Styela clava: one gene and its partner. The main gene of each other region encodes a partner of the protein of the gene in region 2 in a complex. Links are inferred from orthologs where the notes say so. Each region holds a gene or a part of one and is shown on either strand. Other genes may lie near its edges.

Region 1 (6,775 bases), on a different chromosome or scaffold from region 2:
ATTTTCAGATAGTTCTACTAATGCATTAAACATGGCCTGGAACATTTCATTTACACCTTCCCCCGTACCGGCTGATGTTTCAAAATAATGAAAACCTTTTCCATCTGCCCATAATCTTCCTTCTGTTGTATCAACCACTCTGTTACCTTTATCAGTTTTGTTAGCGCAAACAAAAAATATCACATTGTCCATTTTTTGAGGTTTTCCAATTTCTTGCCGCATTTCTTGTAACCATGATTCAAGGCATTCGAAACTGACACGGTTTGTTACATCATAAACAAGAATTGCAGCTTGTGTGTCTTTGTAAAACTCATTTCGTACTTCGTAAAAGTAGGGATGTCCTGCCATATCGAAAATATTTACTTTCAGTTCTTTATCATTTACTTGTACTTTTGTGACACCATAATCAATCCCAATAGTCGCCAGATATTTATTTACAAATCTCTTTTCACAGTATCGCTTGATTAAACAGCTTTTACCAACTTCGGCATTGCCCATGCTAATTACTTTTACTCTTATACTTCGAGGATGACCTTTTTTACGGGTCAGTGGATTGGTGTTGGAAGACATAACTAGAATGTTGTTAACGTAAACCTAAACAATAAATGACATTGAATTAAATGTAGACTAACAAACTGGATACCAGATAAAAAATGCTTGGAAAAAACAAAAGCTAAGCAATTAATTACAAATTTTTACTCCGCGTAGTTCAAAACATTATGAAAACCATAACAAACAAATAAAAAGAAACAAATTTATGACCTCAGAACTGATGAATTTATTGATGTTTAACCACATAAAAGTTTAAATACCTTGTAGTGAATTAAACAATTTTAATAGGTGATTGAAAAAAGACAAAATACCAGTATGTATTCTATTCAACAACTTCAATTGCTTTTCTAACTTTTCTTTGCTCAGATAAAGGAATAGCAGGATTTCCAAAATATGAAATTTCCAATATTCTGTTGAAAAAGTCTTTTATTTGTGCCCATGTGGAATCAAGGTCTTTTGGAAACTCTTCAAAATTTATATCATAGTCTGTTGTATGGTATCTCAGCACCCACCATCGTCGATATAAACCAATATCCACTATTCGATTATGAAATTCCCTCCATTTTGGACGTAAAAATTTACATTGCGATTCATAATGCTTATTAGTTACGTCATAATCAGTATAATAAATTAGAGAGAAAATCACTAAATTTTGATGGCGAATTCGTCCCTTTGCAAAATATCCAGAAACTTTTTGAATGTGTTCATCTGATTCTTTGTTTCGAGTTTTATCATTCAATAATACAATTTCATTAGACTTGTCTACAAGCTTTGCATAAAACTCGGTTTCGGTCGGCATTGTCCGATTGAGTCGGATTCCAAATAGCAATAATCCTGTATACATTGTTGTTTTACCTGGGTTTTCCTTCATATATTGCAAAGACTCTAGAGCTGAAGTTCTATAATCGACAATAGCAGTCTTGAGTGATGTTTTCAACCTTTCACCAATACCACGAACCTTCAATGCTGCCATCACAATTATCAGATTGTAATAATCGATAAAGTACTGAACTAGGCAAACAATAGATTCATAGGTATTCTACTTCACAGGATTATTTAAAACTTTTTCGATTTCTCATAAATATAAAAAATTGATATTAGCATTAGAAAGAGATGACAAAACTCAAAATATTCAAAATGCAGGGGTCTAGCGAAGCAATCGCTGTAACTCCTTAAAATAACGTCAAACAAAATGAAGTTTCCATGTTTTTTTTTCAAGTCAGTTAAATGAAATTCTTGACAGATGTGTTTAGTTAAATCAAACCGACTCATGTTCCAACTAAGCAGGTCATGTCAAACCGTAGGATAGGATTCACATATTTATCCCGGGGGAGAGGAAAGTCGATAAGACGGCTTATCCATATGGCGAACCACGGCCTCTCGTCCGGTTATTATTGAAAGTCGGGTATGGGATTAGTTATATTGTTTGTTTTCGGAAGCATGGACTTGGTGATGGAGGAAGCCGTAACCGACCAGCGGTTACGTTAGGGTGACCATATGTCCAAATCCTAAAAGGAGGACACATCGTTTGGTAGAACCATATTCCACCTGTGCCTGAGATATACGCGTTATATATCTACTAAATTCTCTAGAATTAAAAGTAGAGGCGACAATAGTCGATGTGACGACAATGCAATAATGCATTCTTGTCAACGAGAAACTGTAGCCGCAAGTAATGCACTCCGCCTCGCAATCAGCTCGATCTTTTGCAGTTCTTAACTTTTGCAGGTCTGCCAAAAAACCCCGAACCGCTATTGTGCAAGCTCCCTTTTAATCTCATCAACGGTTGAAATTAGGAGCGCAAATAAAACGTCACAATACTGCAATAGAGAAGCAAATTTTGTGCATGGTTATAGAAAATGAACATTGTGGTGTAACCTTTGATACCAATAGCAATAGGTGCGTGGAAATAATCATTGTTGTTTGTGTCAATTATTTCCTAAATTCAACCTGTTTCTAAAACTGAGCTATAATTTATTAGTAGATTAGGAATGAGGTGCTGCGCACGCAATAACTTATAACCCCGAGGTTTGTCATAACAACCCAAGGTGATTTCAACCTATTTTGTATTCGGGGTCTCATATTTCAACGCTTGTCATATGTGATCTGATAATTACAAGTTTCGCACATAACCATCCCTGCATGGGATTCGAACCTGCGAACCCACGCAGAGTAATTAGAGGTGCGGTGGCGAGCGTATTCCCAGAGCTTAGCCCATTGGTTGAGCCACACCGCGGCGCGCGTACCTCAAGTCTGCAAGTAATTTACAACAATTTGACAATCCTAACCTCCACCTCACTGTGTCATCCAAAAATTACGTGAGCGTGGTAGAATGTCTTATCCTACCGACTAGTAAATTTACCCTAAGAGGAACCTGAAGTTCCTGAAAGCAGTGCTACAGTGCTATCTTGAAAACCAACAGCTGATTCTATGACAGACTGACGCCTTCTTGAATTTCGGCAGTCCGCATGTGTGTGTGTGTTAGGAGTCACATGGAGCTTTCAGCTCGGGTTCAAGGTCCGTTTCGTAAATTATATTAGAAACCGGCTCGGCGATGTAGCGACTAAGCGTTTGGAATACGCTCACCACCGCACCTCTGATTACCCCACGCGGGTTCACATCCGGTGGGGGCTAATTAGGTGTGAGAGGTTTGCTGGACACCTGGCCGAGGTAGGGTGGTACGCGCTACATGGGTGGTGGCTCCTCTACGTCCCATCTCATTGGGCCATATGGGCCGTGGCCCATCAAGCTATGGGCCGCGGCCCTATCAGAAAAAATTCAATTATCTTACCAAAATTCTCAATTTTCACAAAATTGTCAATATTCGAACCAAAAAAAAACGCGGTATGCCGCCAAATTTTTTTTTTACGATAAGCCTTTATAGAGGACTTGCACGGGTCACGTGACTTTGTTACTGGACGGCAATAAAACAAAAACGTCCATTTGGCTCCTGTCAGTTGCAAGTCGGATTATACGTTTCCGTTTTGTTTGGCTGTTGAAAATTGTTATTTCGTATTGTTCCGTTGGCCTTACGTATAGTATAGACAACGAAATGGATCTTCAGGTATATTCCACTGATTTCAAAAGATCCGGAACGTCGCGCAATGTGGATATCATCTATTGCATTGGCAGAACTGCTTGGTGTAAAGTCCAGAAGCCTTCTTACATGTGTTTCACTGTTTGCGGACAGCACTTCGTTGATGGTGAGTGATAATGTGGTGATAGTGTGCCGTTATCAATTTCTTCAAATATTCACGAGCTCCCTCATTTCAATGGAAAGCAGATGACAAACTACTGTTATTAGTAGGCCTACTTGCAGTTGCAGACTTGACTTGTGTAAGACAGTAAGGAATTAATAATCAATTGCTATAAGGTATTGTTTCCCTAATTAGCAGGTAATCTATTACTAAGTGTGAAAGGTTGAATAGATAACTAAAGTTTAACACCAGTGGTCACGCAAAAAATAACCAGAATTCAATTGAATTCGCCATCTAGGAATACGCTCGCCACCACATCTCTGATCACCCTGGGTTTCAATCCCAGAGAGGATTGCAGCTCTACTCCCACCGAGGGTGGTTCTCATAACCGCTGATCGGTTACGACCATTCCCCACCATGCAAGTCCATGCTTCTGAAAACAAATAACTGGACACCTTCTGACCAATAATGAAGATTTCTTTCAATTTAAAACGCAATTATGCCTACCAATGTGGGTAGTTTTCAGGATAGAATTTATCTGTGGTTGGGGGACAGATTGCAAGGTGCAACATCGTACGATTACCATTCTATGTCGGGATTAGTTAGCCAGTTATTTGTTTTAGAAGCATATACTTGATGGTGGGGGATGTCGTAATCGACCAGCGGTCGTGGGAACCATCCTCAGTGGAAGGAGAGCTGCAATCCCTCGCACATAACTATCCCCGCATGGGATTGGAACCTGTGAAACTCCCAGGGAGATCAGAGATGCGGTGGCGAGCGTATTCTTAGATAGAGAATTCAATTGAATTTTGGTTATTTTTTGCATTAGCACTGGCGTTAAACTTTAGTTATCTATTCAACTTTTCACACTTACTGATAGATTACCTGCTAACTAGGAAAACAATACCTTATGGCAATTATTGATTAATACCTTACACGAGTCAAGTCTGCAAGTAGGCCTACGCCTAGGCCTACCAATAACAGTAGTTTGTCATCTGCTTTCCATTAAAATGAGAGAGCTTATGAATATTTGAAAATTTGATAACGGCACATGATGACTCACCATCAACGAAGTGCTGTCCGCAAACAGTGAAACACAAGTGAGATGGCTTCTGGACTTGACACCAAGCAGTCCTGCCAATAGATGATATCCACATTGCGCGGCGTTCCGGATCTTTTGAAAACAATGGAATATAACTGAAGATCCATTTCGTTGTCTATACTATACGTACAGTCAACGGAACAATACGAAATAACCATTTTTAACAGTCAAACAAAACAGAAACGTATAATCCGACTTGCAACTGACAGGAGCCAAATGGACGTTTTTGTTTTATTGCCGTCCAGTAACAAAGTCACGTGACCCGTGCAAGTCCTCTATATAAAAATAAAGCAAAATACCAAGATACAGAAAAGAATACTCCTGTAGTATGTGTACCAGGTTAGGGTTAGGACAAAATTTAGTTCAGATTTTTCACATTATAGTTCTATTATTAGTTCGGGGACTGTCTGTGTTAGCCAGGTGAATAGTCCCGTTACACAACTCGATGGGCCGCGGCCCATAGCCTGATGGGCCGAGGCCCAATTCGATAGGCCGTGATCCCGGCCCATGGGCCGTAGATGAGTCACCACTTCCACTCGGTACGCGTGACCGCTCTCGGTTACGGCTTACTCCACCGTCAAGTTCCACGCATTTGAAACAAATAGGTGGCTAACTAAGTCCATAACCGACTGTGGCCGTGGTTCGCCACATAATTCTTTTACCCGAGATACATATGTAAATTCTGTTCTAACCACCTACAGCTCAAAAAAACATTTTGCATCAGATTTGCATAAGATATTTCTAATCTATGTTCAAAATAAATATTGTATCTCTGAAATGAGCTTTATTGAATGTGGAGTTCCCAGGTTACTATGATTGACCCGCTGGTATTTTTACGCTACATAAACGATCTACCTTTTTGGCCTCTGCATTTTATTCAACATTGTTTGCAGGTGATACTTCTCTGTTAAAATCAGCATCTCGTGTTTCAGAACGTTAAACCGTAGTAGTATATATATACGGTTAAACTGTATGCGGAATCGACTTCGGAATCGATTCTTCGTGGATTCGACTAGATGTGATTCTTATTTGGAAAGAAAAACAATAAATACGTCAAAGCAACAAAGGAGTTTGCAGTTTTGCTCCCCTGAAATTTGGGTATTTTGTTCTAATCTGCTGTATATATGCCTAATGTTTTTTCAATGGTTGTTGAGTAATTGCAAACTACAAACCTGAATAAACTGAGCCGAGTTTGTCATTAGGCAAGGTAGGCTGAAGCCCAGGTGCCTCAGGACATCGACAGCCCTCGACATTCTATTTTTTCTTTAAAATTTTATAAAACTGATATTTGTTTAAATTTTCAATCAGGGTAATATTTATTGTCCCGAATATCTATCGCGGCCTCTATTTATTTTTTGAGTGCGATGACGCCATCAAAGTTAAAATTCGTCTACCTTGTGGCGTGATATCTGGTCACGATGTATATCTGGTCATGTTGTCCATCAGCTTTGTTTAAAATAATGGATATTGTTGAATATTTGATACCGCAATGAGATTGATACATACTGAAATGGATGAGAGATACACAATCGTCAATAAGGAATGACTCCAATCAACGGCGTATCTAGGGTGTGGCAGCCATGGCTCGTGCCATGGGCGCCGTTTGAACAGGGGCGCAAAACAGGGAAAAGTATTTTCCATAAAAGGTTATAAGGATTTCAATTTCAACCGACCTAGAAGTACAAGATCATCGTGGTAAATAATACATATATTCATTCCAACTGCTTTCATTACAGTAGTGATGTAAATTGTATAATTTAATATTCATTTGGATTTCAATCACATTTGTAAACAAGAGAGCTATGCTCAAATATATGGACACGTTACGCTGTTTGAAATTGATAAAAGTAATAGCCTTCTAGAAAAAAATTCAAGCTTTACCTACTGAAAATTCCAAAGCAATTGGCCCAGTAATCAAAGAGAA
Region 2 (7,118 bases):
TTGAATTCTTGAAACTCGCGCAGTTCACACTGGAAAAATTCACTGACATTTCTTCGATCTTCTTCAGAACGTAAAGTACTCACATGAATTTCATGAGCATTTGAATACTCTGTGAACCGTTTGTCAATGTCAGCACTTTTCAATTTCAACAAATCTAGATTTTGGTAGTCTGACATAAGTCTCTCAGCATCTTGATATAATTCCTTCATACGAGCACGTAACTCTTCTAAATTTGATTTCGAAACAGATTCTGCATCTATAATGTACAATTACAGTGCTCTTCAAACATGCAACAAAAGTTTAAATATTCAACAGTACGATGATTTCTTCAATTTTGACGATTTACTGAACTCCTGTCGGCATTCGACGATACTTTATTAATGCAATACCAAACGTTATATGCAAATTTTGATAACTTTATTTGCGGAAATTCGATAACTTTAATGTAACAGCCGTTCTTTGTGACCTGGACGACACCGACTGCACACTAGATATTGGTGACCGTACATTTGAACCCATGTACATTTGAACCCATGCGTATATTCACAGGTTCAATCTATATGCGGGTGCTAAAACCCATGGGTTAGGGTTAGTATGGGTTTAACTATCCGTGAAACAAAAAAAATTCTATAGGTGCAATAGCATACAGGTGCAATTGTCATGGGTTCAAATGTACGTGGGTTCAAATGTAATGGAACCTAGATATTTATTAACAGTTCAATAACGCGGTCTTTCAAGCTCCAAGTTCGTATCCTCACTCCAGAAAATCACACAACTCGAAGTATACAGTTGACACGGTTATCTTAATACAAACGTAAAAACAAATCAATACAAAATACTTGTAATAAATAAATAATCGTACACAATTCGGCCTTTAGAAAGCCTACTCAAATTTATGAACACATTTAACAAACATTTTGTTGTCTGCTATTCCAGGCTTAAATTATCATAAGTAGATTAAGAAATCATTCGTCCATGAAATCCGAACAAATCAATTAAATAAACTATAACTGTAAAAACAATCACAAAGGCAATCTAATGCTCATAAAATATCCCTAAACTAGGCCTATGTGGGGCAGCCATAATCTACATTATTTAATCGTCCTACTGTCAAAACAGAAAGTCAAGGTCGCTGAACAATTTTAACTTATTTACAAATTACAACGAAACGAGCGCCATTCTCCTATAAAAGTAAAGCGCTATCTAAAACAAATTACCGAAACTATCCCTGTCTAAGCGAGACATGTCTGGGCAAGCAATTGCCACGAAGACTCTCACAATTGTTTCGTAACAAAGTGTGTAGAAGCACACTGTCAATCAAGGGAAATTACGGCGTCAACAATAACAAATAAATTACTACACAAGTTAAACGGACGCAATGTTTAAGTCAAAACAAAAATAAAGTGAATGCGATTCTCGATGTAACAGCCTGTAGATGCGTGTTTTGTGTACTATTAAGTATATATATTTTGGACATAGTTTAATATGAAATATATTCTAGATTCAAAAATATTTTTCAGAGTGATTCAGTTTCGAAGAAGTAAACAATAAATATTTTGCCTTTGGCCGGAATCAGAAATTTTACTTGGTACTATATAAATTTTGGTTTTGTTTCAGTAGGCGAAACTTAGTGATTGAAAAAAATCACGCCATTGTTATGGACCTTTCCCCGACCTTTGACCCTCGAAAAATTCTTCCTATACTTTACCATTGCAAAATTTTCAGGGCTATTTTAAGAGTGCTTTTGCAAGTTGGCGCCTGTAAAATGGGGTATGTGTTTCAAACCATCATTATGATTCATCGCATACAACAAACTGTTTTTTAAAAGTACCGGTAAAGAATTTCAGGCTAGTCTATCACAGCTATTTCTACAATGAAAATTCTACAACAAACTCCTAGGAAGACAGCGTGATCATTGAATTATCTGATTTTTATTTAAGTTTCCGAAACACAACTGAAAACTAACGAATAGAGTTCAAAAACGCGAAAACGAGGTAATGTTTACAACCAGCCTTGAAAATCTGTCTGAGTGAGAAAAGGGGGCATTGTTACGTCACTCTTCGCATCTTGCTGATTGGCCAATGTCACGAAATAAACAAGGAAGTCGATACTCGGGGAAAGGTCCATTGTTTCTTTTTGAACAGCACTCAAAGCCTGTATTTGATGTTTATGGCCTTTTAACAAAGAACTGTCATCATCAAAAATGGAAGTTTCAAAACTCATTTTCAATAGGTATAATCCGAAAGTAAAAAAATGAATTTATTTCAGATTTAATAATAGAAATCCAAAATATTCAACAAGTAAGTCTACAACGAAGAATTTTTAGATACAAATGGCCCCAAAGTGATTTTATGTTACCAATGCAGAAAAATTTTTTAGGGGATTTTTTGAAAAAAGATCTAGAATACTTTGGTTGAACATTGATTTTACCCAACCAGAGGTCAGATCTCAGAGGCAGCGTTGCATGGAGGCAGTTAATTCTACTTGTGAACCACCAAGTTTTACTTTCCAAAAATACCATGATAGAGCTCTAGCGTCACATCATATATTCTAGCAGTTCTCAACCTTTTATGGTTCGTGACCCCTTTCCGGCGCTTTTTTGCACTCGTGGCCATTCGCCATTCCAAAAAACCAAACGTGTTGGATTGTATTAAGTTTTTATTACCTTTTATGGAATGCAAAAGCAAACCACGGACAAGAAAGTATAAGAGCTTTCTAGTATACAATGAGTGGGAATCGCTCGGGACTGTCTGACGACTTACAGATAAGTTGCGAGTCGCAACTTGCGACAAATGAACTAGCAGTGAAGAAGCTTTCTTTCTTAGTAATGGGTAAAAGTAGTGATATGCCACTTCAAAGCTGCATTCAAAAGCGGGCTTATCCTCCGGCAGAAACCCTAACTTGGCCAATGTTGCTTTATTGTCAATCTAACTCGCTTGGCAGCCAAGAATCCGATATCAACGCTTTTACCCGGTGATGATTTTTGTCACGGTGGTTTTGGAGTTTAGATGGACTTAATGATTCATTGCTCTTTACATACGAGCAATGCAAGTATTGAGGACATTCTCGGTCATCTCGACTTACTTTTGTAAAGCCAAAGTAACTGTCGTTCCATTTTCGTATTTTGGGATTTCCGTCTATAATACGATAGCGAAGGTTATCTCGCAGTCTAGTGAAATTACAGGTTAGACGGCTTACCAGCGAACTATATTGGTAGATTTCATATTCCATGGACCTTTCCCCGAGCATCGACTTCCTTGTTTACTTCGTGACATTGGCCAATCAGCAAGATGCAAAATGTGACGTAACAATGCCCCCTTTTCGCATCCGCTCAGACACTTTTCTCACTCAGACAGATTTTCAAGCGTGGTTGTAAACATTACCTCGTTTTCGCGTTTTTGAACTCTATTCGTTAGTTTTCAGTTGTGTTTCGGAAACTTAATAAAAAATCATATAATTCAATGATCACTCTGTCTTCCTAGGAGTTTTAATTTAATTGCAGTAATAAAAATTAGTGTAGAAATAGCTGTGATAGACTAGCCTGAAATTATCTACCGGTACTTTTAAAAAACAGATTGTTGTGTGCGATGAATCATAATGATGGTTTGAAACACATACCCCATTTTACAGGCGCCAACTCGCAAAAGCATTCCTAAAATAGCACTGAAAATTTTGCAATGGTAAAGTATAGGAAGAATTTTCCAGGGATCAAAGGTCGGGGAAAGGTCCATTATGCTCAAACAATTCACGCACAAGAAAGTGAATACATATCAACCTATTCAGGCAATTAAACTGCGGTGAACGCCGCAGAGAATTTTATTATAAAAGGAAAATATGCAAACGAAATCGTTTTAGGGTCAATTATTAGCATTGTGTCGTGACCCCCTTAGGGGGGCACCAGCCTCCGGTTGAGAACCACTGATCTATTATAAACTAAAGTACGGTAGGTAAATAAATATGAATAGGCGTAGCACAGTGAGACTAAATATGGCAACTGAGGTTTCAAAGTAGTTCAAGGATCAACAGCTAAGGGACCTCCTGCGGCAGTCGGCGTCAGGCCATGGTTTACTACTGATTGGTCAGGCATGGAGATGCCGTGTAACGTGTGCTGGAAATTGGGTTTTAGTGTAGTACCGTACTGGTACCTAGAGTACTTCTAGTGGGGGTGGCATGACCATTTTTGCATAGGCTATGGGTTTCTTTAAATTACGGTACGTTACTACAACGTCACAATCACGTCATGTTGCAGGTCGGTTTTGGCTCCAGCCGACCAAGTCCATGCTTCGATGCATGTCTGCATGTGGAACCAGTAACTGGCCAACTAATCCCATACCGGTACCTAACCCACATCGCGACATGGACCGGTACGGTACTGTAACCGGACGTCACACGTCAGGACGTGGGCCATGGTTCGCCATATTTTTGTTCCGGCTTTTTCCCCCTCAACGCGGTAACGTCACACCAGACCTGCAGACCGGGCACTGGTACGGTACCTACTTGCGGTAATTCGAAATTTATCTTACTTGTCAAAATTTATCGCAGTTTGGTCATCAGTTCTGCAAATAACTTACAGATTATGGTTGTAATTAGGTTTGCAAAAGCTGTGAAAAACAATCCAAAAAAGTCTATTGCTGGTGCAATCGTCTTAGCATGGTTCGGAAAATGGGCAGAAAAAAGATACATAGCGCATCTTTTCAGAAGGGCTGAATGTCAAACAGCTGTAAAGCTTGGACAAAAAAGTTTACATGAACTTCAAGACGCAAAGCGTGTCACAGTTCTTTTGAACCCTGCTGCGAATGGTGGAAAAGCAAATGCTTTGTATGAGAAGTATGCAGCCCCAATACTACATCTTGCTGGTTATGATGTGCATCTGGTGAAATTAAACTATGAGGGAGAAGCTAAAAAACTTATGTCTGTTGTCAACAATGACATTGATATGATTATTTGTGCTGGCGGCGATGGAACTCTAAGTGAAATTGTCACAGGTTTAATGCGACGACCAGATTCAAATTGGAAGAAGATTCCTATTGGAATTATTCCTCTCGGCAAGAAAAATACAATGTGTAAGAGATTGATTCAAAATGCGGATCATGATAAACAACCTCATTTTATTTGTAGCGCAGCATCTGCCATAACCAGAAGTATACAAACGCCTGTGGATGTTATGAAAATTGATGGTTCGACTGGGAAAACTGTGTATGCTGTTTCAAGTATCAGTTGGGGCACCTATAGTGATCTTCAGGATAGAATAAAAAAGTTTTGGTTTCTCGGCCCTCTGAAATCATACATACCATTTGTTTTGTCTTTATTGAAGTCTGACCCTACAAAGCCAAGAACATTTTCTATATCATACACAGACCCTGAGGTTGTTCCTATTTCCCTAGAAGAAAATTGTGTGGAAAACAGTTCTGGCCTTTCGGTGTCTTCCCTTCTCTCCAAAATCTTTTACAGGTTCTGGCCTTGGAAATCAAAATCAGAGCCACTCATTGAACAAACTGCTGAGTTAATTGAAGAAAATTGGAATGATTTACCCAAAACAAGCATTGAGTTTTTTGCTCAAGCGAATAAGCATTTGAATTCTGAGGGAAGAGAGAAAGCCTCGATACAAGTACAGCTCGAGTCTAATAATGTGTCGTACACTGATTTTGTTACACATGGCCCATTTATATTCCAAAAGGGTGATCACCCATTTGTTAACACTGACTCTGATTTTGAAGTGGATAAATTAAAGTTATCATCACAATTATCTGATAATTACGAGCAACACATTAGTATTGATAATGATAGATATGAAGCAATGGATTTATCTGTCCAATTAGTTCCCAATTGCATTAACATGATTTGTTCAAAATAAAAAGGTTTCTGCAACGAATTAACTGTCTATCTAATCCATTACCCAACATGGACTGGTAACCGCACAAGAGGCCATGGTTCGCCACATAATTAAGCCATCCTTTCCCCTGATTTTCCACTCCCTTGGATTGATTTATAATGTCATTAATAGTTTAAAATTCCTGGTATTGTAGATTTACAATGAGGATGTTCCCTTTTTTCAAAATACAATACAATGTGCAACCCGATTCTAATAAGTTAATGTCGAACATAGACTAAGGTGGTATTTCAGTCCGCCCTTCATACTGCCTTATGAGGACTTTTTAATTAAATTAGCTTCAAAACAGACTGCCTTAACTCTTTCTGCAAATTTTTGTACTGCTCTTTCCTATTGTTTCGCGTAAATGAAATTCTTTCCAAGTCCATATGCTCCAAGTTAAAAACTCATGCTTTGGCATACTCTTTGATTTGGTATTGCCTGTTCCAGAACAATTTAACATAAAATGAATAGTACGGTTTTGAATCGAACATATAGTCTGCTTGAAAAGCGGGATAAAACTTTCAGTTTAAATTGTTCAGAATAAAATTATCCAATATTCCAAATACAGTCTCAATTACTGTTCACAAATACATTTTAAATTTGGCCATGTTTGATGAATATATATTTTTGTGAGAATTCCACTCATAAACCACCAAGTTTTACTTTTCAAACATACCATAATATAAATATCGAAAAATCAAATATTCACCATTTTCAAATTATAAATTCGTTCGAACATCCCAGTTCTCAACTGTTCTTCGTATAGGTAAATCGTTTGATTTTCAACAAAAAGTGCAGAGTTAAACAAATTTCCACTGACATTCTAAGAGCTATATTTAAGTAAAGGAGGTGGAAATATCAGTAGATAGTTGTTAATATTATACTTTAAATAATTCAACATTTTTTGTTTAATCGTTTTTTATTCTTCTCGAATGTTCAATTTTGTTACTACAATGAAACGCATAAGATCATATACCAGTATGGGGTATAAGAGATGTTTTGCTGTTAGTTTTTCATGTTCAGATTAAACGATCAAAACACTGATTTCTGTTTTTCGATCAGTATACGCTTCACTACAGGTAGATTTTATTTCGGTACACCGATGAACGCTCAGGTAGTTATAAGATTTCCAGTGAGTGAGTATGTCAATCGTTACAAGTTCCTGAAAAGTGACATCGACAGCATTCTTATTTGTTGCTGGTTCAGAAGGGTCATTTCAAAGCGCGATATCATAAATAAAATTCAA

What was found. Proteins that work in one complex are often made in the same cells at the same time.
Region 1: the proteins of acylglycerol kinase, mitochondrial-like (region 2) and mitochondrial import inner membrane translocase subunit Tim29-like are in contact, whole or in part, in a cryo-EM structure (PDB 7CGP), measured with the Homo sapiens proteins. The link is inferred for Styela clava from reciprocal best matches to the Homo sapiens genes AGK and TIMM29. Residues at the interface, in NP_060708.1 of Homo sapiens: His33, Asn36, Arg39, Arg40, Cys43, Gln44, Gln47, Asn51, Lys82, Pro86, His89, Leu90; in NP_612367.1 of Homo sapiens: Tyr145, Gln146, Cys149, Arg150, Tyr151, Leu152, Gln153, Arg155.

Annotation. Positions count from the first base shown.
Region 1 is NC_135262.1:15,093,472-15,100,246, forward strand, and holds mitochondrial import inner membrane translocase subunit Tim29-like, read right to left. Parts: upstream 1,849-6,775; 5' UTR 1,526-1,848; coding exon 875-1,525; 3' UTR 617-874; downstream 1-616. Other genes in the region: dnaJ homolog subfamily C member 27-like, read right to left, coding at 1-570. UniProt on the Homo sapiens protein: Component of the TIM22 complex, a complex that mediates the import and insertion of multi-pass transmembrane proteins into the mitochondrial inner membrane.
Region 2 is NC_135253.1:878,990-886,107, reverse strand, and holds acylglycerol kinase, mitochondrial-like, read left to right. Parts: upstream 1-4,027; 5' UTR 4,028-4,576; coding exon 4,577-5,854; 3' UTR 5,855-6,916; downstream 6,917-7,118. UniProt on the Homo sapiens protein: Lipid kinase that can phosphorylate both monoacylglycerol and diacylglycerol to form lysophosphatidic acid (LPA) and phosphatidic acid (PA), respectively. Does not phosphorylate sphingosine. Phosphorylates ceramide.